Mus musculus: one gene and its partners. The protein of the gene in region 4 interacts with the protein of the main gene of each other region in a pairwise test. Links are inferred from orthologs where the notes say so. Each region holds a gene or a part of one and is shown on either strand. Other genes may lie near its edges.

Region 1 (4,316 bases), on a different chromosome or scaffold from region 4:
AGCACAAACCCTACATCTCTGTTCTCATCAAAGAACCAAATGAGCCCCACACTAGTGGGTGGAAGCCATGTTCCCCTGGGAACAGGAAGGAGAGGGTGTTGATCAATCACGGAAGCCATTCCCTTATTTCATGATGTAGTGTTTATGGTGTAGTGTTTACATGTAACGTACATGCATTGTCCTCCGTAGCTTACAATGTCTGGCAGAGCATAAAGACTGTAAATATCTGCCACTCAGCACTGTTTCTCTATTAAAGACAAGAAGAAAGAAACTGTACCTATGTAGTTTTGGATTGTCCGTTAAGTGACTCTGTAGACGTGGCATGCTTAGACACAGAGGGCTGGCTTTACCTAAATTCTCATGACAAGTTACCACATACTGTCTCAATCGCCAAGTGATACATAAAGCAACAGTTCGTATTTAGAGAGAACATTTTTATTCTTATGATTCATTGTAAAGAAATGGGACTTTTAAAAGTGATAAAAACAAGTCTAGAAAGCTGGCTCAGCCATTAAGAGCATGCCTTGCTCCCCTAGCCTCTCCTGAGATCTGCTGACTGAGGGAACGGCCCAGCTTTAGTGCCTACTTTGCTCCAACCTTAGTCTCAGGAATAAGAGAGCCAACTTAAGTTGCAAAAGCACTCCACGCTCTTAAGATCACATCGAGACCTTAAGACTACCCTACAGGAGGAGATTCTAGCAGGCTGTGTAGAGATAAAGGCTCATCAGTATATGACATTTGATTACTCACAGCCATGGATCCATATAGCTAGGACAAAGCAAGAGAGGGAAATAATGTTTGCAGCCTGGCTGAACATCAAAAAGCCATGGGAATGTTCCACAGGCGGGTTCCTAAACATCTGTGGCAGAAGCAAACAGACTTTCCCCCAGAATACTTATGGATCTTGATGCCAAGCCAGGAGTGTGAAGGAGTAATGCAGGGAAGATAGTGGAGAACTGACTGCTGAGGCCCTGAACTTCAGCGGAAAGCGTTGAGGGCTTGATCGCTGTGGCCTGGCATGAGGACTGGGCATCCTGCGGGAGCTACTGCATAAGATGGATACCAAGAAACCAAAGATCCTTGCGTACCTGGAAGGTGGGACGGGAAGAAAAGAGAACACAAACAGAGCCCAGTGATTTTTAAATCCCTGAGGACTAGATGTTCACTACCCACACTCCAGGGTGCCCAGTAAATTTGTTCAATAAATACTTAAATATGTGATATGAAATCTGGAAAACGGGGGGTGGAATGGGAAAGTAGGGTTTTACCCAAACAAAATAAGCACATTTAAAAGGATGAAAATTTAGCAGGGAGCTGAGTTTACTTTGAGACTGTGGTAAAATGGCAAGATAAAACATGGTTCAAAGTGCACAAGGGAAGTGTGTGGAGGTGAGGCCTAGGCTTCTCAACGTCCGTTCTGGAAACATGGCTGACCTTTCATGTCGTATTTGCATATGACAAGCAGACTAAAGTATGAACTGTACTTCTGACAGGTTACATCTGCTCTGGGACTTGCTGAATGTCACCTGAAGGCCCCTGTGTCTGCTTCAGAGAGCTCCTGTTGAATGACAAAGCCGCTAAGAGCAGTAAGTCCAGGTGGGGAATCCGTGTGGGGAAAGCAGGGCCTGTGAGACCCACCATCCATCCTCCATTAAAACAGAAAAGTAGCAAAGTACAAGTCGTCCTCCCAGGATTCACAGTTAACTACAGGCCTCCACTGCATCTCACACACAGACACTACACACATACACACACACACACATACACACACATACACATACCACACATATATACACAAACACACAAACAAAAATACACACACACCACCTATACGCCACACACACACATATATACACACACACACAAACACACACAGCACACATACACATATGCAAAAACTAACACAAAAAAACACACACCACACATACACAAACGCCACACATATACAAACACACAAACAAAAGCACACACAGTACACAAACACACACACATACCTAACTCATGCACACACATACACATATATACTATACACAGACACACCATGTACACACGCATATACACACACCACACATATATATACATACACAGCACATATACAAAAACATACCACAAAATAAAAACAGTCCTATTTCTCTGGGCATTAATCTGACAGTATTAAAGATATGCTTCAGGTTTGGGGATGTAGCTCAGTAATAAAGTATTTGTCTGTCATATACAAGGCTCTGGGTATTGTGTCCAGCAGAAATTCTTCGTGGGTTTATTTATTAGTGTTGGAAAGAAAGCCAAAGAGCATTCACAGTCTGCTTATTATATAGTGTGACAGGAATTAGAAACAAAAAAAACAAAAACAAACAAACAAGAACTACTCTTTCTCGTGACACCTTTTCCGACTCTTGAAGATCCCCTTTTTGTTTGTTTGTTTGTTTGTTTTACTTAGTTTGCTGACCTTAACTGGTACAACAACTTGATAACATTGACATCTATGAGAAAAAGATGAGGTACATTCAGTACGGGGGAGAAAAGATGGGGAGAGGAAGGCCTTGGGGAATGGCACACTGTGTCCATATCTGTGCTTTGCCATTGTGTGCTGTGAAATATTTAGGGGGGCAGAAGAAGAAAAATTATTTTAGAGTATATAATAATATGTTAACAATGTATCTTAAAATATTAATACCATAGTAAAGAACTGAGTTTGGGTGACCTCCATTATTATGTTCATTCTTCAGGTATGAAAGAAACAGTATCTGAAACACAGAAAATACAGAAGGCTCATAAATACAAAGTTATTTGTTGTTCTGCTATCAGCGTGGTAACAAATTTACAGAGGGAGCGTCTACTTAGTTGTTATATCCCTATATATGAATTGTTTCTGATATGGCCTTATGTCACTAGTATGCCCTGCACACTGGAGTGTCAGTGGACTCCTCAGAAATTGTCTTGAATGCTCTATTTTGAATCATTGTTTCTTTGACTCTTGATAACCTTTGAACCATATTACCAAACCTTTGAGACTTCTCATTCGAGAAACTGGGGCATCATGGTCCTGGCATATATGTGAAAGAAGGAGCGAGGGAAAGGGGGAAAGGAGAGAGAGAGAGGTGGGGAGAAACTGTCAATGTTTCAGTGCACAAAATAAAGACAAATGCATTGGTAAGTTAATTGGCAGAACTGGTGGTTGTTTCCAGCATGCAGGTATGTTTCTTATCCTCCCTAGGGGAACGTCCTTCCTGCTGCCTGGACGGTGCGCCCTCGCCTTTCTTCTCTCCTACATCTTTCCTCCTATTAAATGGGCATGATTTGGAATTATTAGTTTGTCTTTCATGGAGATATTTTGCCCTAAATGTTACCTCTTTGAGATGTTCCCATCGATATTTTTTTTTTAATTCCTAACTATAGAACAAAAGCTGAGTTTTGTATAGAGTTGTGTTTCCATGCCATATATTGAGAGAGGATAACTGTAAAAGCCTTAAAAATAAATTAGTTTCAGATGTGAAGCTTCCTAAAAAACAATGAGCTCAAAACAAAGTGAGCTCCTCGGGTTCCCACCATCTGTCCTTTCGTCTCCCAATCTCAGCTGTTCGCTTCCCCATCCTCTACCCAAAAATGCAGAGGTGAGCTGGACCCAGGGCCATGTCTCTCTCTATTCTGTGGTCTCCACCAAGAGCACAGTCTCCAAGAACAACCCTAGGGACCTCTTACACCCACTTAAGAAGCTTTTATCCCAATACTGCTGCCACCAGTGCATTTTCCTCCTGGTTTAATATATTAGGACCATGCTTCCCTAGTGTCTGTGACTGCTAAAATCTTGTTGATGAAGAAGAAGGAGGAAGAGGGGGAGGAGGAAGGGGGAAGAGGAGGAAGGAAGAAGAGATGTGAGTCCCAGGCATCTCTTGGGCAGTAAGACGTTACATGTGTAACCAGTGCTAGCATCTGTGGCAACATCCAGGAGGGTTCTGTCAGCTAGCATCACAGTAACTAATACTCGCAATAAGCAATCTATTTTTAAGTCTATACATGTTTATTTTGGCTCGCAGTTTTAGAGCTTTTGGTTAATGGGAAGTTGTCCCATTAGGGAACGGGGTTTGTGCTGAGGAAACAGAACTGGAGAGTGGCACACAGCACTGCATCTCATGGCAAAGAAGAAAACTGAGAAAGATAAAAAGACAGTTTAAAAAAAACTAGCACAGACATTGCAAAAATAGCAGGGAAGAGCTGCTTAAAGACTAGAGAGTAGAAAGAGAGGAGGGGGCCAGTAGATGCCAACAGACGTAGACCAAACTGTGGAGGTTAGTACAGTGGCGCATCCAAGTATTGAG
Region 2 (3,995 bases), on a different chromosome or scaffold from region 4:
ACAGACCAAGTTCACACTTTATGAAGATTTCGTTTTAAATGCTTACCTTTAAGGGGAAAGGATGGGGAGGAGTCTTAAGGAATGGGGATGTAGAAGGGAAATATAATAGCTATTTCTGGTTATCAGCTATATCTAGAACAAACCACAATCCAGAATTGGAAGGTTCACCTGTGATCCAGATCTTGAGGCTGGGAAATACAAGTTTCTGACCTTGATCTTGGCATGGAAATCTTGAGGCATAGTGGCTATGTATCCCCAGGAGAGTAAGGTAAGATCTCTGAGTACAAGGCCCAGATCCAGGCGTGGCGGTACACACCTTTAATCTGAACCACACCTTCTTCTGGAGATCTATAAGACATTGGAAGATGGAAGTTTTTCTCTTCCTCCTCTGCTTGCATTTACTTGCCAGCCCATCAGTTGGAATCTACTAGCCTGGTGGGACTGAGCAACTCCTAGATCCTTGGACTTCCCATTCACAGCTGACCATTGTTGGGGAGGTGGACTACAGACCGTAAGTCATCATAACAAAGTCCCTTTCTATATAGAGACTATCCACAAGTTCTGTGACTCTAGAGAACCCTCAAAGGAAGACTTCAGATAAATCTAGAGTGTGCAATGACATCATAAAGGAGTTTGGGTTGATGCAAAGTTCATTTGAAGTGTTATGTAATAACTTCTCCTCTGGAAAATCGACAAATGTACCGTTTCTCTTTTAAAATATACATTTTCGTGTAGATTTATGAGTCTCCCCTAGGAACTATTTGTTCAGTTCATCACATGCTGTAGGTTTAGAGGGCTGATGTTTGCTGAGCACCTTAGACTCGGTGCCCAGTGTTATTACCTAACTTGTTTTCTATGGAAGCATTCCTGAAAAACAGCATCCATTTACACACGACAACTAACACAGATCCAATGGCCGACACAGAAGCGTACGCATACCGCTACCTAGTGTGTCCCCAGAGAGAAGCAGTTGCGGAAATGCGTCAGAATTCTGAGAACAATTGGCCAATCAAATAGCAGCTTCCTTACTTTTTATTTCTATTGGGTTATATTAGTGTCAATCTACAATACTCTGGAATGAGGCGGGTCTCTTGGCCTATAGTTATCCAATCGGATAGTGAATGAGAGCGGAAGTACCTCTGGCTCTGAAGTTGTTGTATTCGCTCTATGGGCCCAGTGCCTGGCAACGCGGTGAGATCGCGGCCAGCGGGAACAGGAAGTGACGTGAGCTGGCGGAGGGGCGCGAGGTTTCAAGATGGCGGTTCCCGGGTGGTTGACCGAGGGGCAGAGGTGAAGGCCCCTTCGCAGAGAGTCCTCCGGGACCGCCCGCTAGCTGCTCTCGCCGTCCCGGGAGCCTCGCAGTCGTGTGAGTGCGTGGGGACTCGGTGCTCCGTTTTCCGCGACCCTCCCCGGGGCCTGCGAAGCCTTCTCTGAAACACCAGGCCCAGAGGCCGCGCTCTTCCTCCGCTGGGCCCGGGGTGGCGGGAGCCTCGGGTTTCAGGGCTCGGGGCCGGCCTGGCACTGCGTCCGACGGGTTCTCGGGCGGGATCTCCCGCCGGGTCAGACCCACCGCCCGAGTGCGGCGACCGGTGGCGGCGGGCTGACGTCTAGCCGCTCGAGTCGCTATCAACCGTCGCTATGGTTTCGGCAGTTGCTGTGAGGCCTCCTGGAGTGGACCCGGACCGGACCGGACCGGTCGGGTTGCGTTTGTGCTGCCTGGGTTCCCATGGTCTTTTGACCTTGTCTCTGCCAACGTTTGCAGGCAGAGGCACTATGGTCTTGTAAAAATTCTCCTTGACTCGTAGCTGATTGGTTTTTAGGTGTGTGTGATGGGATGGCGTCAAAACGAGAGCCCGAGGCTGGTTTAAGAAGGGAAACACTAAAGAAAAGATCAAAAATAGAATTTGTTGTATCCGTGCCTTTTTGTAGTTCCCTATAGTCAGTACCCTTCTCTTCCCTTCTTCCCAAACTCCTGCCCCTTCTGCTTTCTGATAGAGAAACATCTGTAATGACATAATCGACACCGATCAGTTCTGAAATATCTGGGAAGCAGCAGGGAGCCGGCCAGCTGAACGCTTGATGAAAAAAAGCATTAACTAAAACAACTTACAGAGTCCCACCTAAGGAGCCAAGGGAATTAGAGTCTCAAATTTACCTCGGGATCTTCCCTTTCCTAATGTAGAAAGAAAGTAGATTTGTTTAATGCTTAAAGGGGGAGCCACAGGAGATGTAGCCTGTAGGAAAGTGTCGCACACTTTGAACAGGAAATATTTGTTCCTTTTTTTACTATGGGCAAGGCTAATTTTTGGAAGTTTCATTCATTTGGAATGGAAGAGAAAGAAGTGATAATAATGAAAGCCTGGCCTTAAAATATTTCCCTACCGTGACTACCACTTTTAATTCCCTCAAAATACATAAATCAGGAGTCATATGTGCTAGTAAGAATATACTTTAATGTTAAGTTTGAGGAGTTCTAATACTTCATTTTTTATTTCTTTTGTTTGAGAGTCATAAATCATTTGATTTGGTATTAAATCAAGATAAATATGTTTGAATGGATTGCATTTTGCCATCTGGCGTGTGGAATGAGCAGTCTAAGGAGAAAGTAAAGAGCATGTATTTGTCTTTAACCCAGATTCATTATCTCCACTCCTGTTTCATATCCCCTTATACAGGTCGGAAAGATGTCCTCAGGGTTTGCATTGCATTGTTAGAATATTTCTCAATTGGTTTTGGTTTGTTTTGAGATCGTCTCATATGGCTCAGTCTATATTCCAAACAATAGCATTATAAGTGCAAAGTTCTTGTTGATTTCTTTATTCAGTTAACAGCACTATATAATCCATAGGAAAGGGTTAAACTTTTGAGTAGTTAATGATATTCTCACTGTGTTGACTAGTACAGATACTAGCCTTTTCTTTGTGGTCAAGAAAGGTAAAGAAAGCCGGGCGTGGTGGCGCACGCCTTTAATCCCAGCACTTGGGAGGCAGAGGCAGGCGGATTTCTGAGTTCGAGGCCAGCCTGGTCTACAGAGTGAGTTCCAGGACAGCCAGGGCTAGCTATACAGAGAAACCCTGTCTCGAAAAAAAAAAAAAAAAAAAAAAAAAAGAAAGGTAAAGAAATAATTTCTTGGATGCTTCATTCAAAATTAAAGAGCACGGTCTTACAAGTAGAGAACCAAAGGGATATTTCTTTACAGAAATTGATGCAAATTCGTAAAAGGAAGTCTTTTTACACATACAGCAAAACTGAGTTCTTTATATCTTTTCTTTCCAGTTTTTTTTTTTTTTAATGAAGAAGTAAATCATATAAATTGTCACCATGGGACGAAGATCAACATCCTCCACCAAGAGTGGGAAGTTTATGAACCCCACAGACCAAGCCCGTAAGTACGGAAGGAAGAAGTAGAAGGGTTAAAACTGGCAGACTCTTTCATGGTGGCCTAAGTTCAGCGTTGGTAGAGTGGGGTGTGTGAGGTCATGTAGAATTCTTAAAATGGACTCATGGTTAGAATGTTGAGAGTGTAAGCTGCTTAACACATTTCTCCTCATACTTGACTGGCTAGCAGGAGAAAATTAAGTCTTTTTTATGTTAGAATTTTTAACAAATGAGTTTTTAAGTGTGTGATTTGAGAATCCCTTTTCTTCCTTGTGGTTCAGTTATTTTTCTGTAAAGAACACATCTTGGCATTTTGGGTTGAGAGGGTTGGAAGCACTAAGTTCCCTAGTGGGTCAAAGCCATGTTTGTTCCATTCACCGACACTGTTAACAGTTGTAGTAGCTCATAGTAATGTTGGTGATGGAAGTGTGAGTTATGGCCTCTCTTCCTCTCTCCTTAGGAAAGGAAGCCCGAAAAAGAGAACTGAAAAAGGTACGAATTTAGAAACATTCTGTGAATTGTTCTAACATTTGTGAAATTTCAAATTATATTGCCAGGAAAGACGCTTTATGCTATACTGCTGATGAAAGCCAGAAAATTGACTGGTAAAAAACTGA
Region 3 (3,547 bases), on a different chromosome or scaffold from region 4:
AGAATTTTTAACAAAACATCACTGCCCCTGCTTCCTTCCCTTCTTTACCTAGATCCACTTGCCAAAAGGATGGCTTTTAACTCTTTTGTATTAGATTATTTTGATACTTCCATATCCATAAATAATTTTGTTATTATTTATTGATTTCTTAGTTATAGATTTTTATCTTTTCAGCATACCCCCTGCCCCCCAAGCATTTTGGGGTGCTCATTGGTTTTACTTTTTAAGACAGAGTCTTACTATATAGCCCAGGCTAGCCCTAAACTCACATTCCCTGGGCCTCAGTCTCCCAAATGTGGGATTCCAGACATGAGCCTCTACGCCTGGCTTTTATTTTGTTTTCTTTTCTGTACATAGCTTTTGGTTAATATGTGTTCTTAGGTATTGTATTTTGTTTTGATTTTCATTTTTTTTTGATGCTACCTATTTATTTATTATTTTATATATTTATTGTTCAAGGCGGCAGCATGAGCCAAGGTCCATATGTGGAGGTCAGAGGACAGTTTGTAGGAATTGATTCTCTCCTTCCACCATGAGGCTCCTGGAGATCAGTCTCAGGTCATTAGGCCTGGTGGCTAGTGCGTTTATCTGATGATCCATCTGGCTGGCCCTAATACAGTACCACTTATTGATTGCTTTTTAGACTTAATAGACTTTCCCAGAGTCTAGATTGGACCTCATACCTCTGTCCCCTTTAGATGACTAAATCTGGAGGCTTGTGACAGTCAAAAGTTTTAGATGATGTTGTGTGGTTCCTTTTGAATTGTGACAAGAGGCACACAATTTAATGACCTGTAATAGTTCAGAGGGATAATTGTTCAGACTTGCCATTAAGTTTTGGGAACTTTTCTCACAATCCTATCCTTAAAAAAAAAAAAAAATCACAGTATCAAGAAATCTATTTTATCAGTTTGTAGTATATATTCAATTAATAAAAGATGAATGGGAGCCAGATGTGGTGGCACATGCCTTTAATCCCAGCACTTGGGAGCAAGAGGCAGGCAGATCTCAGAGTTCAAAGTCAGCCTGGTTGGTCTACAGAGAAAGTTCTAGGGCAGCCAGGACTTTACAGAAAAGCCCTGTCTAGAGCCGGGTGTGGTGGCGCACGCCTTTAATCCCAGCACTTGGGAGGCAGAGGCAGGCAGATTTTTGAGTTCGAGGCCAGCCTGGTCTACAAAGTGAGTTCTAGGACAGCCAGGGCTAAATAGAGAAACCCTGTCTTAAAAAAAAAAAAAAAGAAAGAAAGAAAAGAAAAGAAAAAGAAAAGCCCTGTCTAAAAACAACAACAACAACAAAAAACAAAAAACAATAAACAAAATCTCTTAGAATATTTTGAGCCATAGATAAATGAAAAAAAAATTGTAAGTCCAAACAAAATTCCTAGGTTTAGATACACGCTGTGCTGGAGGCCAGAGAGATGGCTCAATGGTTAAGAGTATTTGCTGATCTGTCATGAGAACCAGAGCCCAGTTTTCAGAAACCACATCAGAGAGAGAGAGAGAGAGAGAGAGAGAGAGAGAGAGCACGCACACATACACACCCCCTACCTACTTCCTAGAGAGAGAGGGAGAGAGGGAAGGAAGAAAAGGAGAGGGAAGGAAAGGAGAGGGGAGGGTGGGAGGAAGGGAGAGGCCAGTAAAGAAACACCAAAAACACCCTATTCAGTGTCTGTTCACTTAAGAATTCCAGTAAGGATCCCCAGTGTTGATGTGTTCTTCAGTTACCTTCCTTTCCTTCTACTCTCCTGGCTTTTGTTTGTTTGGTTTTCTTAATGTTTTCCCCATTGTCCAGGTTACTGTTCACTCGTTTAACAGAGTTATGTGGAAGATAGAGATCGCTTGCTCAGTGCAGAGCTCTTGACTAGCCAGTGGGAGGCCCGAGGTTTGCTCCTAGCAAAACACACAAAACCAAACCCAAAACTGTTTTCAATGTGTTTGCTAATGAATAAAATCTGGTATATTCCTAGAATTGTTAATGCTGATATACATTGTATCATTTAGCCTCTAGTAGCTTTAGCAGAGTCAGTGCCTGTCTGACTCAGGCAGTGTACTTGTATGTTTCCTTTTCTGTGTTGAGATAGTGTTATTGGATTAACTTAAGTGTTGATGTTTCTTTCCCTAGCAATCAGCAGAACGCTGTGTAAGCACACTGCTTGATCTAATCCAGACCAAAGTAAATTATGTGGTCCAAGAGGCAATTGTTGTCATCAGGGACATCTTCCGAAAATACCCCAACAAGTATGTCAAAATTCATGTAATCTTCTTTCTCAGATCATTTGGGAAACGTATAAGTAAGGCACTTTGAAATTGACTCGGTAAGAATTATTATTCCATATATAACTGGTCATAGTAGATTTTTTTTTAATGAAGTCAGAGATACATAGTGGGTATCAAACAGACACTAAAACTTCTCGTTTAAATATGGGAATGGAGTTTTAAGTTGGCCCCATGTGCTGGGATTACAGGCATGAGCCACCATAGCAGCTGTTCATTATTTTTGTAGAAATGAGGCTTAGCTTAAGTATATACTTGGCATAGACTACATCAAACACATAAGATTGTTTGTTGTGTCAGAGTTACCATTACACAGGAAGCCTATTTATCCCTAGGTGTCTTGATACACTCGCTCCATGCAGACCAATGATTGTGTCCTTCCTCCTCTCAGAATAACTTTTCCAGCCGCCATGCTGTTTGCTCAGCATGGGGCCCCACTGCCTTGTGGGAGCAGCAGAGTGCATTCAATAAGTTACTCCCCTGGCCTCTGCTGACACACTGGGGCTGCTCCCACAGGGATCATTTACATCACAAAGTTTTTACTGGGGCTCTTAGTTCATAAAACAAAATACTTTGATTCTGAGACCTGCAGTCCAGAATTAGTGCAGGATTTGGGTTTTTGTGAGATTTTTTTTTTGTTTTGTCTTGAGAAGTGTTATTTTTAGAAAGAGGACCACCACCTTTTACTCAACTCCCTCCAAAAGTGAAGGATCAAGTTTCTAAACTGTTTTGTTACAGGTTAAGGAAAAAAAAAAGATCAATAGAGAAATGTGTAAAACTTGTGTAAATAAGGGGTTATGACAGTTTAATTTCAAGAAAATAGTCAGAGTCTGGTTTAATAAGTAGGAATAGGGCAGATACTTGGCCTAGTATACTAGTTATCCACATTAATATATTCTGTTTCAGTCTAATGTTGAAAATCACATTAGCCAGCTAGATCTGATGGCATGGGCCTATAATCTCAGCTATTCAGGAGGCCAAGACAGGACATGGACAAGCTCAAGCCAACCCTTGCAACCTAGCAAGACCCTGCTTTAAACAAGAGGAGAGCAGTAGGCTGAGAATACTGCTCATAGGAAAGAGTTTGCCTGGTATGTGTTGGATCCTAGGTTCAGTCTTCAGTAATAAAAATAAAATTTTAAGTTATGTTAGTAAAGGACGTATAGATTCAGCAAGGTGAATACGTAGTTATAAGAAAGGTTGATTTTTAAACACAAGATAATGGTATTTTCTTATACCACAGGTTAATTTATTCCCTCGTGAACATGTCTGTC
Region 4 (4,214 bases):
GCACAATGCCAAGGTTCTCCAAGTTCTCTCTCTGGCTTGGAGAAATTCCTGGAAACTGTATTGACAATACTGACTACTTCCCATTGTCTGACTGAGCTGGAGAGACAGAAACCTGGTAAGCTGATGTAAAGATATCTGAATGCCAGACTTAGATGGAGCCAGTAAGTGGAGCCATTCAGGAGGGAGTCACTAAAAAGAGAAGTCTGACATAAACCCAACCTCCATTAATTAATTTTCTTTAAGTCACAGGTTGAGCAAATTAAAAGGATGAGAGTCTAGAGACTGTAGCACAAGGCCCCAGGATCTAATGCCAGCAGTACCACACACAAAGACAACGTGAGGCTGCAGATGTAGCTAGGTGCTAGGCTACACTCTAGCATGCTCCAAGGCTTGGCTCAATCACCAAAAGAGAAAAAGCACAGGCAGAGGAATTTACCAGGGCCTCCCTTTTAAGCTCTTGCAAGTGTTTTAAGGGTGTATCTCAATCTAGGTTATTTGGGGAAAAGATAAAGAATGCCCAGAGGAAAAAGAAACTGCTAGTCAACAGCAAAAGAAAGAAAGAAAGAAAGGAAAAAAGGAAGGAAGGAAGGATGGATGTGGGCTGGAGAGATGGCTTAGCAGTTAGAGCACTGACTGCTCTTCCAAAGGTCCTGAGTTCAAATCCCAGCAACCACACGGTGGCTCACAGCCATCAGAACAGCTACAGTGTACTCATATAAATAAATAAATCTTTTTTTAAAAATTAAAAAGAAAGAAAGAAAGAGAGAGAGAGAAAGAGAGAGATTCAAAGAAAGAAAATGCTGAGGAACAAACATTTCAGGGAACTAACTTGCCGCTACTCATTTTATGCCCTATTTCACAATGCTCAGCATCTGAACAATCCACAGGGTTCCAAAGTACATTAAAATGTGTTCATTTCCTCTCTTACTCAGGCAGAATAATAATAGTTTTGTGGCGGTACCACAATCCTCAGCAATTTCAATGACAGACACTTTTTTTTTAAACACATACTCTCTGAGAGGTGCCTTACTGCAGCCACTTAAAAGTGTATAGAAATATCTATGCCCTGTCACCAAATCAGTGGCCTTCACTTCTTAATTTAAATCCTTTATAATTTCCTGAGTTCTTTACATATCTCCTACAGAAAGACGTTGCTTTTTAAAAACTTCTTAAGTTATAAGGGAACTCACACACACATACAAAATATTTCAAGCAAACTAGTGTAAAAAAAAAAAAGTAACAAAAATGGTAACCATAATGGTTGCTGAAACGTCTGCACTCTTCACCGTTAACATCTTCTAAAAATAAAAGTATCCCAACAAATAAATACATTCCTCTAGTTTGGAGCATTTAGAGAAACACCCTGCCAAGCAGCTGGCCTGCGGGCTCCTGGCCCCAGCTCCTGCCCTCACATCCTGTCCACTACATAATCCATGAGCAAGCCTTTCTCTTCATCAATTCAGCGGGATTAGTAAACCGGCCTCCCTGAAAATAGAACTGATATTTTCCACGGGCATTTGTTCCCATGCTTTCACTATCTATGCTATTTATCAGACTCTTTTTTTCTTTTTTATCCTCCGTGTTTCCGACCACGAAGTACCAAGAGAAAGATACCAACCGATAAACACAAAAGAACCGCATCTGGCCAGAGTCTGCATGCATTTACATTTCCAGGTTGCTTCTGTTTTCCGAAAAGCAGTGATGAGGGCAAAGTCGCAAACTTTCACATTCAAGATGCTACCAAATACCTCTACACCCTCAAGCTGCAGCAAGAAGCCACTAATCTATTCCTTCAAAAGCAAAGCCTGTAGTCTGAATCACAACAATAGAAGACTGCTCATAGGCAAGAGGATCAGCGAAGTTGTCTTCCAAAGCAAAGGCAAACAGAAGTGAAGGGAGATCCAGCCAGCTCCTCCTTGCTTTTCTTTCTTTCTTTTCTTTTTTTTCTTTCTGGGAATCCGGATTGCATTTTCTGGTGCCCCCCCCCACCCCCAAGAAGGGACCGCAATTATGCACTGGGTCCACAGCAGACACCCGAGTCAGTGCGTGCGCAAGGAGGGCGAAGCGGCCGAGAAGGGGACGCACGCCCGCTGCAAGGGTAGCCGCTTTCTGTTAAATGCCATCAGAGCCAGCCCCGGCCGCACCACTTCGGCCCAAACGGCATTGACCGCCCTTCACTTGACAGGGTATTCCAAGCAGGCGCTAGAGAAAAAGGATGAGCCGGGGACTCGAGGCCGGGGGCACCCGCGGGCGGCGCGATGCGGCTCCCGCGAGCTCGGGATCCCCGGGAGGCCGGGTCGGCCCGCCACCCTCCGGCGGCCGAGGGCAGAGGGGTCAGCGGTGGAAGGACCGCCCGCCGCGATGCCCCCCACGGGAGCGCCGGCCGTGGCTGCGGACGCCCATTCAGCCCGAACCCGTCCCGCGGCCGCCACCGCCGCGGCCCGCCCGCCCCGCTGCCCCCGGGGAGGATGAGAAAGACCGGGCGGAGCGGCGACGGCGGCCGCAGGGACGCGCGCCCGGCCGCTGGACCCGACCCCGGGGCGGCCATCGCCGACCCCCGCCCGCGCGCCAGGCCGCCCGCGTCAGCTCCTCACCTCATCTCCGGGCGGGTGCGCGCGGCCGCCCCTCACACAAATCAGTGCAGCCCGCACGCCGCGCGGAGGAACGCCGAGTCCGCAGCCGCGCACACCATCCCCGCCCGCCCGCCTGCCTGCCTCCCGGCCGTCCCGGAGCCCGCTCGGGATGCTCCCTTGCGAGCCGCCGTACTACGGAGCAACCAAGCTGCGCGCCCTCCCCGCGCCGCTCCACTCCTCTCGCCCTCCTTCGCTCCTTCGCTCCCTCACTCCCGCCTAACTCCTCATCTCCCTCCGCCGCCGCCCCTCCGCCCACAGCCTGCCCTCCGCCCCACCCATAGATGGGCGGGGATAACCGCCTGCCAATCGGACGGCGGAGACCACGCCTTCGCTCTCTCCTATGACTCCGCCCACTAGGTGGGCAAAAAAGAAGAAAGGAGCCAAAGGAAATAGAGGTGTACAGAGTGACAACGAGATACACCAATGAAGTAGTTTGGATAGCACCCCCCCACACACACACACTTTTTTCCCCTCCCATCCTTGTCTCGTCCCTTGAAGGCGTAACTAGAGGTTTCTGCTCTATGCGTGCGGAGATTTTGTTTCACGATTTGGCGCTTTGCTCTTTTCTATGCGCGACAGTAGCTAGGATACATTCAACTAAATTGAAGGTTTTGCAGAAAGAGCGTGGGCACGAAAGGCGAAAGACACAAAGACTGAAGAAAGATGGTAGGGGTTACGGTTGGAATGAGGAAGGGTGTGGCCTTTTACTCTAATTTGCATAAAACGGAACCCATCTTGGCAACGCCCAACTTCTCCCATTTATTGGTGGTCCCTGGGGCGGCGACTCGTCTCTCTACGGGAAGCAGCATGCTGGGAGATGTAGTTCCGGGTTCAGTTGCCATGGCGTTCGTCACAGCCTCCCCCAGATCGGTCATCCTGCGGTAGTGACGGGCAGTCTGACCAATGGCAGTACTGTTTGGACCCAAGAAGGCGGGCTCTCTGCAGAAGGACTGGGAAGGTGGCGGCGGCGAAGGCGCTGGCGGTTGAGGTTGCTCCGAGCCAGGTGAGCCAGGGAAGAACGATGTGTGTCTCTGAAATGGGACTTTGGGCGAAAAATGGAGAAACGCCTGAAGGAGCTGTCTAACCCTGGGGAGACTGGTACTTCGCATCACACGCCGACCTCAGAGATGCCCTGGCTCAGGCCTAGCTTGGCCGAGGCCGCCGAGGGGCGGGTAATACTAGATTTGACGGACAGTTCCTGACCCTGGCTAGGTTTTGATTGTAGACTGATCTTTGCTTCTTCCTCCGCGTTTATGGAGGCAAAGGTCTAGAACTGCCTTTCTCCTGGGTTGAGTCCTCCCCGCCCCCAGCTTCTCCCTATCACTGTTTCTGATGCTGTCTCTATTACTACTTCCCTTGTCACCCTTCTTATCCTTCTCTTTGCATTTCCAGTAAGCGGTTTCCTAAAGCAAACAAGGGTGGGTGTTCGCAGTAATGGGGCCTTGGGTCAGGAATTGCCTGCTTCATTGAGCCGGCCATACTTGAGCCATACTAAAGAATTATCCCAGGGTCGTGAGGAGGTGCAGATACTGATTCTGGATTTGGGCCTGGTGGTCTGCATTTGCTTTTTAAAAATTATAT
Region 5 (4,089 bases), on a different chromosome or scaffold from region 4:
CCACAAGGAAAGACCTGACTCTCCTTCCTCCCCATGTGGTTGGCCTGGCCCCTTCATGCCCTGCAGAAGCCCAGAGATTCCCACAACCCTCTACAGGCAGTGATTTGCAGAGAGAGGGAGCTGTGGGGGTAGAAGGCTGGTTCTGGGGCTGCATGGGGGATTTCAAGTCTTTGTTTCAATCAGGAAGACCCGTCCCAAAACTTCCCAGTGTCTCTTTTGCTGTATTTGTAGGTTTTTGTTTTGTTTTGTTTTGTTTTGTTTTTGAGGTGGAGTTTCACTATATTGTCCTCCTGCCTCAGTTTCCTGGGACGCTAGACTAACAACAGGTATGCCACAGGCAAGCACCACTACCCCAGGCCTTTCTGGGGTAAGAAGGGTTTGTGCATGCTGTGGTGGAGGACATCCTGGACAGGGACCTACCACCCAGAGATGCCCCAGCCCATATAAGACCCTCTGAGTCTGGGAATTAGTTTTCTCCTTTCCCCTGGTCTCTGGGATGCAATCTAGGGTCTCTCACATTGCTAGGCAAGTGCTCTGTCATTGAGCTGCAATGCACTCCCTGCTGGTCACTTGGCTAGAGTTCACAGGACAGGGTGTTCCCTAAGGGCCTTTTCAGATCATTGGTTGGTGCTTCCACTGATTAATTCTGCAGAGACCTCCTACCGCATAAATGCTCTCACCTCCACAGAAGCAGCCCCTGGCCACAACTGCAAAGGGGGATCAACCGGTCCTCCCGAAGAAAGCAGCAGAGCCTGTAAATTGAGGCTACTAATTTGGAAGTTATGTCCTCCTGTGCAACTTGGCGCCGGTAGGAAGTATAAGTAACGAACACAGATGAGTTTAGGTAATTTCCTCCTCGACGTGTTGGTGTCCGAGGCGGATACAGCTAGGGCCACCTTACCCTTCGGGTTATACCCGTGACCTTGAGTATGTTTAACCAGCCGAGTGGCTGGACGCTGGCCCTGGCTAGTAAACCACGCCCGCGGCCTACGCACGCTTGTGAAACTTGAAACCCGAAACTGCCCTGCCCCGAGGAGAGGGGGCGGTACCTAAGGAGAGAGGGCGTGACTTGGGGGCGGAGTCATAGATAGGCAGAGCCTAGGTGCCGCGCTTGCGTAAACGCAAACTAAAGAGGTCCTCAAGGGGACGGGGCCTAGAGGGCGTTCACGCACGCGCGTTTTGGCTGTGGGCGGGACCTTGTGCCGGGGGCGGTGCCTCGGGCGGCGCGTGCGCAGGCGCGTGCTGGGCAGTGCGGGCGCGGTGCGGGGGGCGGGGCTCCGCGGCTCGGAGCTGGCCTGTGGCGAGCTGGTGTCTGGCAGGACGCGGGCTGCGGGAGGTCAGTGGCGGTCGCGGGCCGGAGCCGGTCGCCAGCACCATGGAGGACGATGACAGCTATGGTGAGTGGGGCCGGTCCGCTGCCCCTTCGTGAGCTTCCGCCTGCGCCGGTGTCCCTGGGACGGGACGCGGAGCGCCGGGTGGCGGCAGTGCGAGGGCCCGGGGGTGACTGCCCAGACGCTCGAGGGCCTGAGGGTCGCCGGGGCTGAGGGTCGCCTGGACCTTTGGGTCGCCGTGAACTGAGAGTCACCCGGGCCTGAGGGTCGCTGGGAACTGAGTGTCACTCGAGCCTGAGGGTTGCCGGGGCTGTGGGTCACCCAGGCCTGGAGGGTCACGGCAGGGGTCGCCCGAACCTGAGGGCGCCGACGGAGACGGGTGTAAAACCGGGAATTGCTTTCGGGCTCCAGGACCGAGGTTACTCGGGCCTGGGGGTCGCTGGGGCTGAGGTTTGCGAGTCTAGGGGCCCCGGAAGGGGAGTCGCCGGGGTTAGAGGGTCTCCGCGGCGGGGGTTAACCGGAGCGCTGAGGGTCATGAGGATGCTGAGGAGCCCCGGGGTGCCGAGGGGAGTCAGGGCCAGGTGACCGGGGTCGTAGTCTTTAAGACGAGTCGCCTGCTGCTTGTCACCGGGGTGGCAGACGCCGCGAGCGGCCGCGGGACTAACACGCCCGGCCGGCCTGTGTTCCCTAGTAGTTTCCGGCTCTCAGGGGTGTTAGAAGTTATGTGCCCCATCCAGCTCTTTGTTCTGAGATGAACACAAGTGGCCTGACCGGGGCCTCTGAGCCGGGGACGTCGGTCAGGTTCGTGCTACCGTCGCATTGTGAATTAGCTCCTGGTCCCCTGGTCTGTCAGTCAGGGCCTGACCACACCGGGCAAGGGGATCAAGTTTGAGCTGTTGCCTGAAGGTAGCCGGGTAATGACACCAGTCCACATCCTCCACCAGGGCAGAAGCGATTTAGACTCTCCTGGCTAACCTTGCTGCTTGTTGGCGAACAGCCAGGGCTCTGGTCCCTCCGAGGGTGTGCAGTCTCTGGAGTTGTAGAAGGTTATTTGAAATGCTTTACGTGGTTGTTAGCATTGTTTCCAGGAGGAATGGAAGAAGGAATGGCAGGTAGGGCGAGTGGTGACCTTTTACTGGTTTGGCAGGGAAGTATGGCTCAGGAACTTAACAAGCTTATACGGCTTAGTGGAGCCAAACTCCGGTGTGTTGCCTCACAGGTAACTTTGCCTCCTCACACTCTGGTGAGGAATATTAAAGTACCAAGAGGGAAGAGTGTTAGGGCTTTGCAGGGGAGCCCTTAGAGAACCCTGACCCGGTGAAGCCATGAGGATTATGGCTAACAACTCCCAGAGCTTCAGATGTGTGAACACTGACTGTTTCCTTGAATGTTAGAGGTCTGTGCCTTCCTGTTCAGTGGAAGAAGCCGGCTTTTGCTACCTTCCAGGTAAACATGGTGTGTGCCTTCCTTTGTGATAGAAAAGCAGTCACCTGCAGGCAGGCCCCGAGGGATTGCTCGGCCCCCTTGGACCCTCAGGGTTTTTTTCTTCGGTTGGAAACCTTCACTGGCTTTCCCCACTGCTCTTTTCTCTCCCCCTTGTCCTTTGTTGTCCCCTGGGTGCCAGGGTTCTGCCAAGCTTTGTTCTTACCCTCCCCTGGTTATTGCCCGCTGGGTGAGGCAAGAGCTGCTGTTCTGGTTGGTTTAATAGTGACTTCTTTGACTCAGGCATGACTTGTACTAGGGAAGGAAAAATGGAAGGCTTTGGTTCCTGTTACTGCCAGGAATAGAGGGACTCAAACCCAAATTTACTCTGTAGATCTGGAGGTGAGAGTCCAAATTAGGTCACACTGGGCTGATACCAAGATTTTGTTAGGGTAGTGTTCCTGCCAGAGACTGGAGGGAAAAGTCGGCCTCCTTTCCTTTCCTAGCTCCAGAGGATGCTTCGCTTCCCTTGGAATCCATCCTTAAAGCCAGTGGATAGCATCTCTCCACTTTGTCTAATTGCTGCCCTTTCACAGGACACTTGTGTGTCACACCTACCTAGATAACTCAGGATAAGGATCGTAGTAGCCATCCACAAACCCAGCTTCCCTTTTGCCATGTGAGTAAACACTTTTAAAGACTTGAGGATTGTGATGTTCACATCTTTAACTTTTTAAAATTTTATTTATTTATTTATTTATTTATTTATTGCGCGTGGAGGTTATGAGACAGGAGTGGGTTCTCTGCTTCCACTCTGCCAGTCCTGGGATGAAACTTAGGTTGCTAGACTTAACACCAAGCGCTTTTGAACCCACTGGGACATCTCATCATCCCAGATGTGGGCATTCGTGCAAGCTTTCAAGAGAGCGGCATGGGAGGATGAAAAGGAAGCTCATTGCCCCCTTTATACACTTTTACGTCTTTTTACTTGGGAGGATCTAGAGGGGTTAAATACAAGAGAACTCCTCGAGTATCATATAGTATAAAATGGCCATGTGGAGACTGAGACCAGCTTTCCTTCTCTTTCTCCCTCTCTCCTTCCCTCTTTCCTTCTTTCCTTCCTTCCCTTCTTCTCCTTGTCTCCTCTCTTCTCCCCCTTCTCTTGATCTCCTCTTTCCATTTTGAGTTAGGGGAGCATCTCCCTATGATTCCATGGGTCTGGCCTCAAACTGGTAGGTTTAAGTGATCTTCCTGCCTCGGCCTTCTGAGTAGCTGGCACTGTGTTGATTCTGTGTCTGACTGAGCCTCCCAGTTTGAGTATCAGACTATAGAGAGA
Region 6 (3,547 bases), on a different chromosome or scaffold from region 4:
GCTTTGAAACACAGAAAAAGTGGGGGAAAGTAGTATATAATCTTGTTGTCTTAGAATAAAAACTGCGAAATGAGACCGAAGGATGTATGTTGTTCTTGGACTCAATAGCATGTGGTTTCTACTATGCAAAGAACCTAGAAACATCTTTGATTGCCTTAAATTACAACACACCCACCAAAATATGCTCTATATGTTTCTATTGGGCACAACAGGTATGCCTGGATTTTAAGTTTTGTTCCAAGGCAGGTCAGTGAAATGTAGCCCATGGAGACCACACTAGTTCCAAACCACTCTCCCTTGTGATAACCCAGAATAGTTTAAAGTAGGAATCTGTTTGCACACTACCCTGCCCTTTGGCCCAACCAAGAAGCTACTGAACTGCGTTTCAAATCCTCACGAAGGCTATTACTGTCCTGCTAGTGCCTATTTCGAGAATGGTCAACTTCTGGAGTAGTTTGGCTTAAATGAGAATGCTTCACTTTCTACTCATGCCTGTAGCTGGTGCATGAAGAAGACACAGGGTGGGGTGGGGTGGGGTTCCTCTTTGGTGCTAGATGGCTTGTTCTCTCTTCTATTTTCCTGCATTCATTTCACAATGCTTCTTTTACTTTTTGTCTCTGTGGACAAAGGTTTGTACATCAACCCTGGATGTATGGTGACTGTTTGGAAGTACCGATATATTATCAATTTCAAACCACTCTAGAAGCAACCCAAAGACCATCACCCTTGGCCAACCACCAATCCTTTGTGTCTTTCATGAAACATTGAAATGTAGTACACACATGCATTGAGGGAAAGATATTAAGCAAAGATCACTGCATGATGGTGTGTTTAAACGTCAAGTATGTTTTTCTTCATGACTCCGTGTTACTGTGGTGTGATGTACACCCTCTACTTGGCAGTGTTGTCTTGTGTCTGTCTGCCAGTATGTTTTTCTGTGTTTTGTGTCTCAAAATATAATCATGTCACTGAAATAGAACTGAATGTTCACCAGCTATCTTAAGCCTCATCTTAAATCCAATTAAAGCACAAAACAAACCAAAGATTAGTCTTGACCATTGAAATTGGCTCAATTAGCTGGGCGGTGGTGGCGCACGCCTTTAGTCCCAGCACTTGGGAGGCAGAGACAGGCAGATTTCTGAGTTCAAGGCCAGCCTGGTCTACAAAGTGAGTGCCAGGACAGCCAGGGCTACACAGAGAAACCCTGTCTCGAAAAACCAAAAAAAAAAAAAAACCCCAAAAAAATTGGCTTAATTAAAAATAAAATGCTGAATAGCTGAGGTGTGGTGGTGGCCAACTGTTTGGGTCCAGATTATGATATATCGGTATTCTCTAATGCCTCAACTTAAAACTCATTTGCTTGGTTCGGTTCTTCGCTTAAAGAAGTGATCATTTCTGTGAGCTTGCTCCTCCACCCTGGGCTTTGTCACTCACCCAATTTTTTGCATAGGCTTAAATCCAGTGATGCTTACAAAAAAGCCTGGGGCAATAATCAGGATGGAGTAGTGGCCAGCCAGCCTGCCCGTGTGGTGGATGAACGGGAGCAGATGGCCATCAGTGGTGGCTTCATCCGCAGGTGAGTTTTTTGCAGTACTCTGTTGATGGATAACCAGCACTGAACTATTTTCTTTTCTTTTACTTGCAAGGAATTTTTGGGCTCCCTCATTGGGCTATGATTAGATTATGATAGCTTGTCATTCATTATCTTGTCTGGTCTTTGGCTGGGCTATCAGTAGAGACACTTCCATCCACCTGCATGAGGTCTTCCAGCAAAGAGCTCAGGTTTCTTCATGGTAATGATAGTGTTCCAAGCAGGCAAAATCCAAGACATGATTTCCTTCTGAGCTATGGCATGGGCACAGTTTGCCATGGTGCAAAGCATGACCACATCCAGAATCAGAGTTGGTATGGAATGACATCACTTGACCTGAGTTTATTTTAGCAGAGGCCTGGTAAACAGCAAGAGTAATGTAGCATTTATAGTCTAGGAGTACCAGAAAGCTGTTACCACTCCTTTCTCAGGAGATAGGCCAAGAACAAAAGGGTTTTATGGTAGGGAAATACAGTCATAGCTAGAGTTGACTAGAACAAGAAAGAGAAGCAAATGCCCTAAACCCTGCTTTCATGACCTCCAGTCTCTCTCAGGCCACTATTCAAAGCCCACTGGAAGCCAGAGCAAACAAGGAGCCAGTAGTACAGTAATAAAGGTCAGCTTCTCAGGGCACAGAGCAGGGGAAGTCAAAGACCTGATTTAGAGTAGGAAAAGGAGGAAAAAGTGGAATACACATTAACCACTTCTTTTGAGATCTAGAAGCATAAATAAATAAATAAATAAATAAATAAATAAATACCTATTTTAAAAGCTCAAATTATATGTCAGCCAATATCTTGGCCTGAGGAAAGGAAACCACTAAGCAGAAAAACAGCCAAATATTTTCTATGACAAAGGAAAGATTAAAGTTATTATATTTTTGGGCATGCTCCCCCCAATTCATTCCATACAACCACCAGTTTGTTTTAACCAGAAAAGCGTAATTTTGTCAAAGAAAGTGTAAGCCTTATCAATTAAAACAGTTTAGACTTATTACATATCAACAAACAGTTCTCAACCTGTGAGTTATAACTGCTTTAGCAAACCTCTGTCTCCAGAAATAATTACAGTACAATTGAAAACAGTAGCAAAATTGTACTTATGATGTAGCAACAAAAATAATTTTCTATTACATGAGAATCTGCATTAAAGGATTGCAGCATGAAGCAGGCTGAGAATCAATGATATACACTGTTATACCAGAACTCAGCATAGGTGAAGATATTTGTCTTCCTAATTATTTATCTCTAAGTTATTGTAGTTATTGGCCAATCAATTATGCTGGTATTCAAATGTGAGCCATAAGTCATAGGGTCTAGATATGCCTTACAAATGACAATTCTAATTTTGCCTCCATCTGCTTACAAGGAAACTCAATTAATAATTTGTAAGCCAGTGGTTGTAAAAGTATGGACTATGGGAGATCCGAAGAAAGAAAGAAAGAAAGAAAGAAAGAAAGAAAGAAAGAAAGAAAGAAAGAAAGAAAGGAAGGAAGGAAGGAAGGAAGGAAGGAAGGAAGGAAGGAAGGAAGGAAGGAAGGAAGGAAGGAAGGAAGGGGGAAGCAGGGAAAAATGCAAGAAGGAAAGACAGAGGGACACGCGCCAATATTTAATCCACAGCAATTCAATCCAAATATCTTGACAACTGACACAAGCATCTCTGATTTGTACAGCTCTGGTGTTCCACTGTGCTTTAGGGATGGAAGTAGTTGTGGTACAGAAACTTGTTCATGGTTGATGATCACTCAAATGAAATGTAAATGATAGGAGGTTTTCTCTTAATCTTTAAATTTGCTCTGTCTCAGGCTGATATATATCTTAGTGGAGCCAAGCATAGTGGCATAGGACTCTAATCCCAGCACTCATCAGGTCTGAGTTCTCAAAGTCAGCTTGGGCTATATATGGAGACAAGGTTGCAAGCAAAACAAAACAAACAATAGACAAAAGTTATAATATG
Region 7 (4,347 bases), on a different chromosome or scaffold from region 4:
GCAGGTAGCAGTGAGCTACTCAGGATAGATGCTGTGAAACTGAACTCTGATCCTCTGCAAGAATGCTATGTGCTCTGAACTGTTGGGCCAGCTTTCCAGCCCCTGTTTTAAGACAGTTTATGTTATATATTCAGAGGTATGCCTAGTTATCCTCGGGAGTGAGTCAGGTAGACCTGAGAGTGTTTATGGCAGGCTGGCCAATTCAACTGTATTTACTACGGAGTGCCTCCTGAGGAGGAGAGGCGTTCCATTCGTTTTAGCTGACCACTTCAGATCGATCGCAGGCCATCACTGAGGGGAGTCAAGGCAGGAACCTAAGGCAGGCCTGCTTGCTATAGCACACAGCATTAACCTCCAATGGAGAGCTCACTTCACTGCCAATCAGGTATAGCAGGAACCACAGAGGACGCTGTTTGCCAGCTGGCTCGTAGATGGGCTTCAGCTCACTTAGCTTTCTTGGATAGTTCGAAACCTAGGTAATGGTGCCGCCCACAGTGGGCTGGGCCTTCGAAGGCCAGTTAACTGTCCAGACCTTTCTTACAGACGCGATACGGGCCAATCTGATCTAGGTAATCATGGACTAAAGCTCTCTGCTCACAGGACCCTAGGCTATGTCACACTGACAGGTAAAGCAAACTAGGATACCAACACAGTGCCTTTTTCAACCCTGTTACCCTACCCACTGCACTAAATCCTGACTCTGCTCATGTCTTTATCAACTTCAGCCGCATCCGCCCGTGCTTACCCGAAGGTTCCTGGTAAGAGGCAACTGCTCTGGCCCACCTTTCCAGCACCTGGTCTTTTTTCTAGGGCCACAGGCTCCTCCCTTCCAGCACGCACTCTCCCAGGCTTCTTCCCACTGCCCCATGCTCCACCCACAGTCAGGTCTCCGGCTGACTCCATGCAGTTCAGTTTTGTAGGTTTATTTTTGCCTCGGGGTCCAGAGGCGAGGTTATGACGGGCCTAACCCCTGACTGGCACTTCCTGTACCCACTGTCCTGTAGCAGGTGCTTTGCTGAAGCAGCCAAAGGGAAGGGATGGGGGAGGTGAGCCAGCTGCCAGGAGCTTGGCACAAGCCAAGGCTTGTGCCGTGCTCCTGGCCAGCCCCGTGCTGCCAGAGATTCGATTCTCAAGTCATTTTTAACAGCTGCTCCCACCCCCCCCGACCTGTCATCTGTCACTTTCCTTCGGCTTCACCGCGACTTGGTAGGAAGAAGTCCCTCTCTTGACCACCCCGCCTTTTACTCCCAGGGTCTGGGAAGCGCCCAGTCTTTCGGTCCCTGGCCACACTGCCCCATCACACTTCCCCTCCTTGGTTTCCTCCAAGTGAAAAGCAAAACTTTCTGCGCTGCGGTCTGGGAGCCGCGAGGGGCGGCGCGCGCGCGCTAGCGAGGGGCCGAGGCTGGAGAGGAAGCGGCGGTCCTGGGCAGGAGGAAGAAGCCAGCCCTCGGCTCGGCCCCCTGCCCGTTTCCCGCCGCCTCCGCGGCCGCCGCTACCACCATCACCACCACAGTCACCGCCGTCCGGGGCGCAGCCGGCCGCACGATGCAGGGCGGGGGTCCCCGGGGCGCTCCGATCCACAGTCCGAGCCACGGCGCAGGTAGGGCCCGGGGTTCTGGAGGAGGGCGAACGAGGCCTGCCGAGATCCGGGCGCACCCTGATGCAGGGGAGGGAAATCGAGGCAGTGAGCGGGGAGTGCAGGGTGCGGGCGGTCGTGTCCCCAGCTCCCACTGCAGCTCCCGTCCAAGCGCGTCCCCGTCCCGAGAGTCCGGCCGCCCTGAGGCGCAGTCGGCGAAGGGCGCGCCCGCACTCCTTCCTTGCGAGGTCCCGGTGGCCGCGAAGGTTTCCGCAGCGCCCAAGTGCAGCTCGATCCCAGGACTCCCTCGGGTGGCCGGCGCAGACGCTGCGGGGACGCGGGGCGAGGTTGAGAGAGGTGTGGGAACTGCAGCCCGCACCTCCCGTGGGGCTGCTCGCCGCCCACTTCCGAGTGTGGACTGTGACGCGCAGGGCAGCGCAGGCTGAGGGGACCCGCTCCATTTCCTCTGTCAGCTTGGGCCACGTACCAACCCCGGTGATGACATCGAGTTAAGTGGGTGGCCGCTTTTCAACCTCAGCAACTCACTGTCAGAAACCCCAAGAAAAGAACGTGATGGCACACGCCTCTTTTCCTAGCACTCGAGAGACAGGAAGACTGTGGAGACTTTCTAATACAATCTGGGCTACAATAGTGAGACTCTATCTCAAAAACCAAAATCAAATCAGAACAATGAAAAATAAAACAAGCACGGAGATCTGCTCCAGACTGGGCTTTGCAGTTTGGGCGTGTGCTGTGCCAAGGAGAGAAGGCAAAGGACTTAGGAGCTTCTTTTGGCTCTTGGAGCCTCAGTTTACCCATCTGTGAAAGGAGCACTAATCACTAGCTTCCCTACCTCCTTAACTGGCTTCTATGAAGACATTTTTGCAATTGGGAGTTGGAAAATACAGGGTTGGTAGGTGGGTGTAGGGTAAGAGTCTTCTGCACCCGCATCCTGGACTCGGGAATGCCTTAGTTTTTCAATTTGTAAAATGGAGCTGATTTTCCTGCCTACGTGGTAGATTTTAAAAGGGGTTTAATGTGGTAGGAGGACATGAAACCCCTGGCCAAATCTCTGCGATACAAAGCAAATTCTCAAAAATCTCTTAGTTGCCCAGGCTAGCCTTAAATCTGCTGCCTAGCCCAGGCTGGCCTCCAATTTGCTAGCCTTTGCCTCCCAAGTGCTGGGATTACAGGTGTGCTCCACTACGCACGGGTCCTTAAGTATTATTTTGACCATGCAAGACCTAAATAATCGTGGGCAATACAGGAATGCCAGTGTGACATGTTAGTGTCTGAGTTACAGGGTATTTGAAAAGACATTTGGCACCTGACATGGAGACCGTTGAGGTTTAGCCAGGATTCTGCCCACAGCAAATAGAGCCCTGGATGAGAAACCTGCTTTCTGAGCTGTCTCTCCAAGTCTCGGGCTTTCTCTTCTGTTTATAAGAAAGAGAAAGCACCTGGGCTGTAATTATTACCTTAGCCCTGAGAGTGCTGCCCTGGGATGGAGAGCAGAACATCTGGAACTGGGGCAGGTGACAGCCTACAGGCGACAGGTGCCACTTTGCAGAGAGTGCATGGGCCAGGCACTTGGTCCTGCCCTTTGATGAGGTCCCCCTCACACCGGTGAGGGGCTGGTGCTACCATCCTCATCTTCCCTTGGATGTGGCAAGGGTTGGAGTCACCTGCCTGTGGCCCTGGTGGTTAAACAGGGACTGGGGCTCAAAGTCAGATGCAGGTGTCTCCAATTACAGGCTGAAGGGAAGGTGTCAGGTGGAGCCCAGGCTGAGCGTGGACCTTTGCCTGGTCAAAGGTAATACCTGGTCTTCTGTTTCTGCCGTTTATACCTATCTTCATCTATCTATCTATCTATCTATCTATCTATCTATCTATCTATCTATCTATCTATCTATCTATCATCTATCTATCTATCTATCTATCTATCTTCTATCTATCAATCATCTATCTGTATATCTTCTGTCTCTATCATCTATCTTCAGCATCTATCAATCATCTATTACCTATCTATCATTTATCCATCAATCTGTCTGTCTATCTTCTATCAATTATCTACCTACCTATCTATCAATCATCTATCTATCTATCTATCTATGTATCTGTCTATGTATCTATCTATCTATCTATCATCTATCTATCTATCTATCATCTATCTATCATCTATCTATCATCTATCTATCTATCTATCTATCTATCATCTATCTATCTATCATCTACCTACCTATCTATCAATCATCTATCTGTATATCTTCTGTCTCTATCACCTATCTTCAGCATCTATCTATCAATCATTTATTACCTATCTATCATTTATCTATCAATCTGTCTATCTATCTTCTATCAATTATCTACCTACCTATCTATCAATCTATCAATCATCTATCTATCTATTTATCTATCTATCATCTATCCATCAACCTATCTGTCTGTCTATCTATCATCTATCAATTATCTACCTACCTACCTATCTATCAATCATCTATCTATCTATCTATCTATCATCTATCTATCTATCTATCTATCTTCTATCTATCAATCATCTATCTGTATATCTTCTGTCTCTATCATCTATCTTCAGCATCTATCAATCATCTATTACCTATCTATCATTTATCCATCAATCTGTCTGTCTATCTTCTATCAATTATCTACCTACCTATCTATCAATCATCTATCTATCTATCTATCTATGTATCTATCTATGTATCTATCTATCTATCATCTATCTATCTATCTATCTATCATCTATCTAT

Evidence for each region.
Region 1: the proteins of Itsn1 (region 4) and Dlgap1 interact in a two-hybrid assay, tested with the Homo sapiens proteins (2 studies listed by BioGRID and IntAct). The link is inferred for Mus musculus from reciprocal best matches to the Homo sapiens genes ITSN1 and DLGAP1.
Region 2: the proteins of Itsn1 (region 4) and Wbp11 interact in a two-hybrid assay, tested with the Homo sapiens proteins (2 studies listed by BioGRID and IntAct). The link is inferred for Mus musculus from reciprocal best matches to the Homo sapiens genes ITSN1 and WBP11.
Region 3: the proteins of Itsn1 (region 4) and Ap2b1 interact in binary tests that used the Homo sapiens proteins (3 or more experiments, as listed by UniProt). The link is inferred for Mus musculus from reciprocal best matches to the Homo sapiens genes ITSN1 and AP2B1.
Region 5: the proteins of Itsn1 (region 4) and Cyth1 interact in a two-hybrid assay, tested with the Homo sapiens proteins (2 studies listed by BioGRID and IntAct). The link is inferred for Mus musculus from reciprocal best matches to the Homo sapiens genes ITSN1 and CYTH1.
Region 6: the proteins of Itsn1 (region 4) and Snap25 interact in a two-hybrid assay, tested with the Homo sapiens proteins (2 studies listed by BioGRID and IntAct). The link is inferred for Mus musculus from reciprocal best matches to the Homo sapiens genes ITSN1 and SNAP25.
Region 7: the proteins of Itsn1 (region 4) and Disc1 interact in binary tests that used the Homo sapiens proteins (3 or more experiments, as listed by UniProt). The link is inferred for Mus musculus from reciprocal best matches to the Homo sapiens genes ITSN1 and DISC1.

What each region holds. Positions count from the first base shown.
Region 1 is NC_000083.6:70,423,303-70,427,618, forward strand, and holds the start of Dlgap1 (disks large-associated protein 1), read left to right. Parts: upstream 1-1,489; 5' UTR 1,490-1,586; exon of another isoform or gene 1,587-1,596; intron 1,597-4,316. UniProt on the Homo sapiens protein: Part of the postsynaptic scaffold in neuronal cells.
Region 2 is NC_000072.6:136,825,391-136,829,385, reverse strand, and holds the start of Wbp11 (WW domain-binding protein 11), read left to right. Parts: upstream 1-1,169; 5' UTR 1,170-1,366; exon of another isoform or gene 1,367-1,820; intron 1,821-3,275; exon of another isoform or gene 3,276-3,276; 5' UTR 3,277-3,321; coding exon 3,322-3,385; intron 3,386-3,838; coding exon 3,839-3,870; intron 3,871-3,995. UniProt on the Homo sapiens protein: Activates pre-mRNA splicing. May inhibit PP1 phosphatase activity.
Region 3 is NC_000077.6:83,337,192-83,340,738, forward strand, and holds part of Ap2b1 (AP-2 complex subunit beta), read left to right. Parts: intron 1-2,121; coding exon 2,122-2,237; intron 2,238-3,547. UniProt on the Homo sapiens protein: Component of the adaptor protein complex 2 (AP-2). Adaptor protein complexes function in protein transport via transport vesicles in different membrane traffic pathways.
Region 4 is NC_000082.6:91,727,980-91,732,193, reverse strand, and holds the start of Itsn1 (intersectin-1), read right to left. Parts: upstream 2,824-4,214; 5' UTR 2,595-2,823; intron 2,587-2,594; exon of another isoform or gene 1,659-2,586; coding exon of another isoform or gene 1,619-1,658; intron 1-1,618. UniProt on the Homo sapiens protein: Adapter protein that provides a link between the endocytic membrane traffic and the actin assembly machinery. Acts as a guanine nucleotide exchange factor (GEF) for CDC42, and thereby stimulates actin nucleation mediated by WASL and the ARP2/3 complex.
Region 5 is NC_000077.6:118,245,747-118,249,835, reverse strand, and holds the start of Cyth1 (cytohesin-1), read left to right. Parts: upstream 1-1,277; 5' UTR 1,278-1,375; coding exon 1,376-1,397; intron 1,398-4,089. UniProt on the Homo sapiens protein: Promotes guanine-nucleotide exchange on ARF1, ARF5 and ARF6. Promotes the activation of ARF factors through replacement of GDP with GTP.
Region 6 is NC_000068.7:136,772,445-136,775,991, forward strand, and holds part of Snap25 (synaptosomal-associated protein 25), read left to right. Parts: intron 1-1,450; coding exon 1,451-1,576; intron 1,577-3,547.
Region 7 is NC_000074.6:125,052,685-125,057,031, forward strand, and holds the start of Disc1 (disrupted in schizophrenia 1 homolog), read left to right. Parts: upstream 1-1,510; 5' UTR 1,511-1,545; coding exon 1,546-1,600; intron 1,601-4,347. UniProt on the Homo sapiens protein: Involved in the regulation of multiple aspects of embryonic and adult neurogenesis. Required for neural progenitor proliferation in the ventrical/subventrical zone during embryonic brain development and in the adult dentate gyrus of the hippocampus.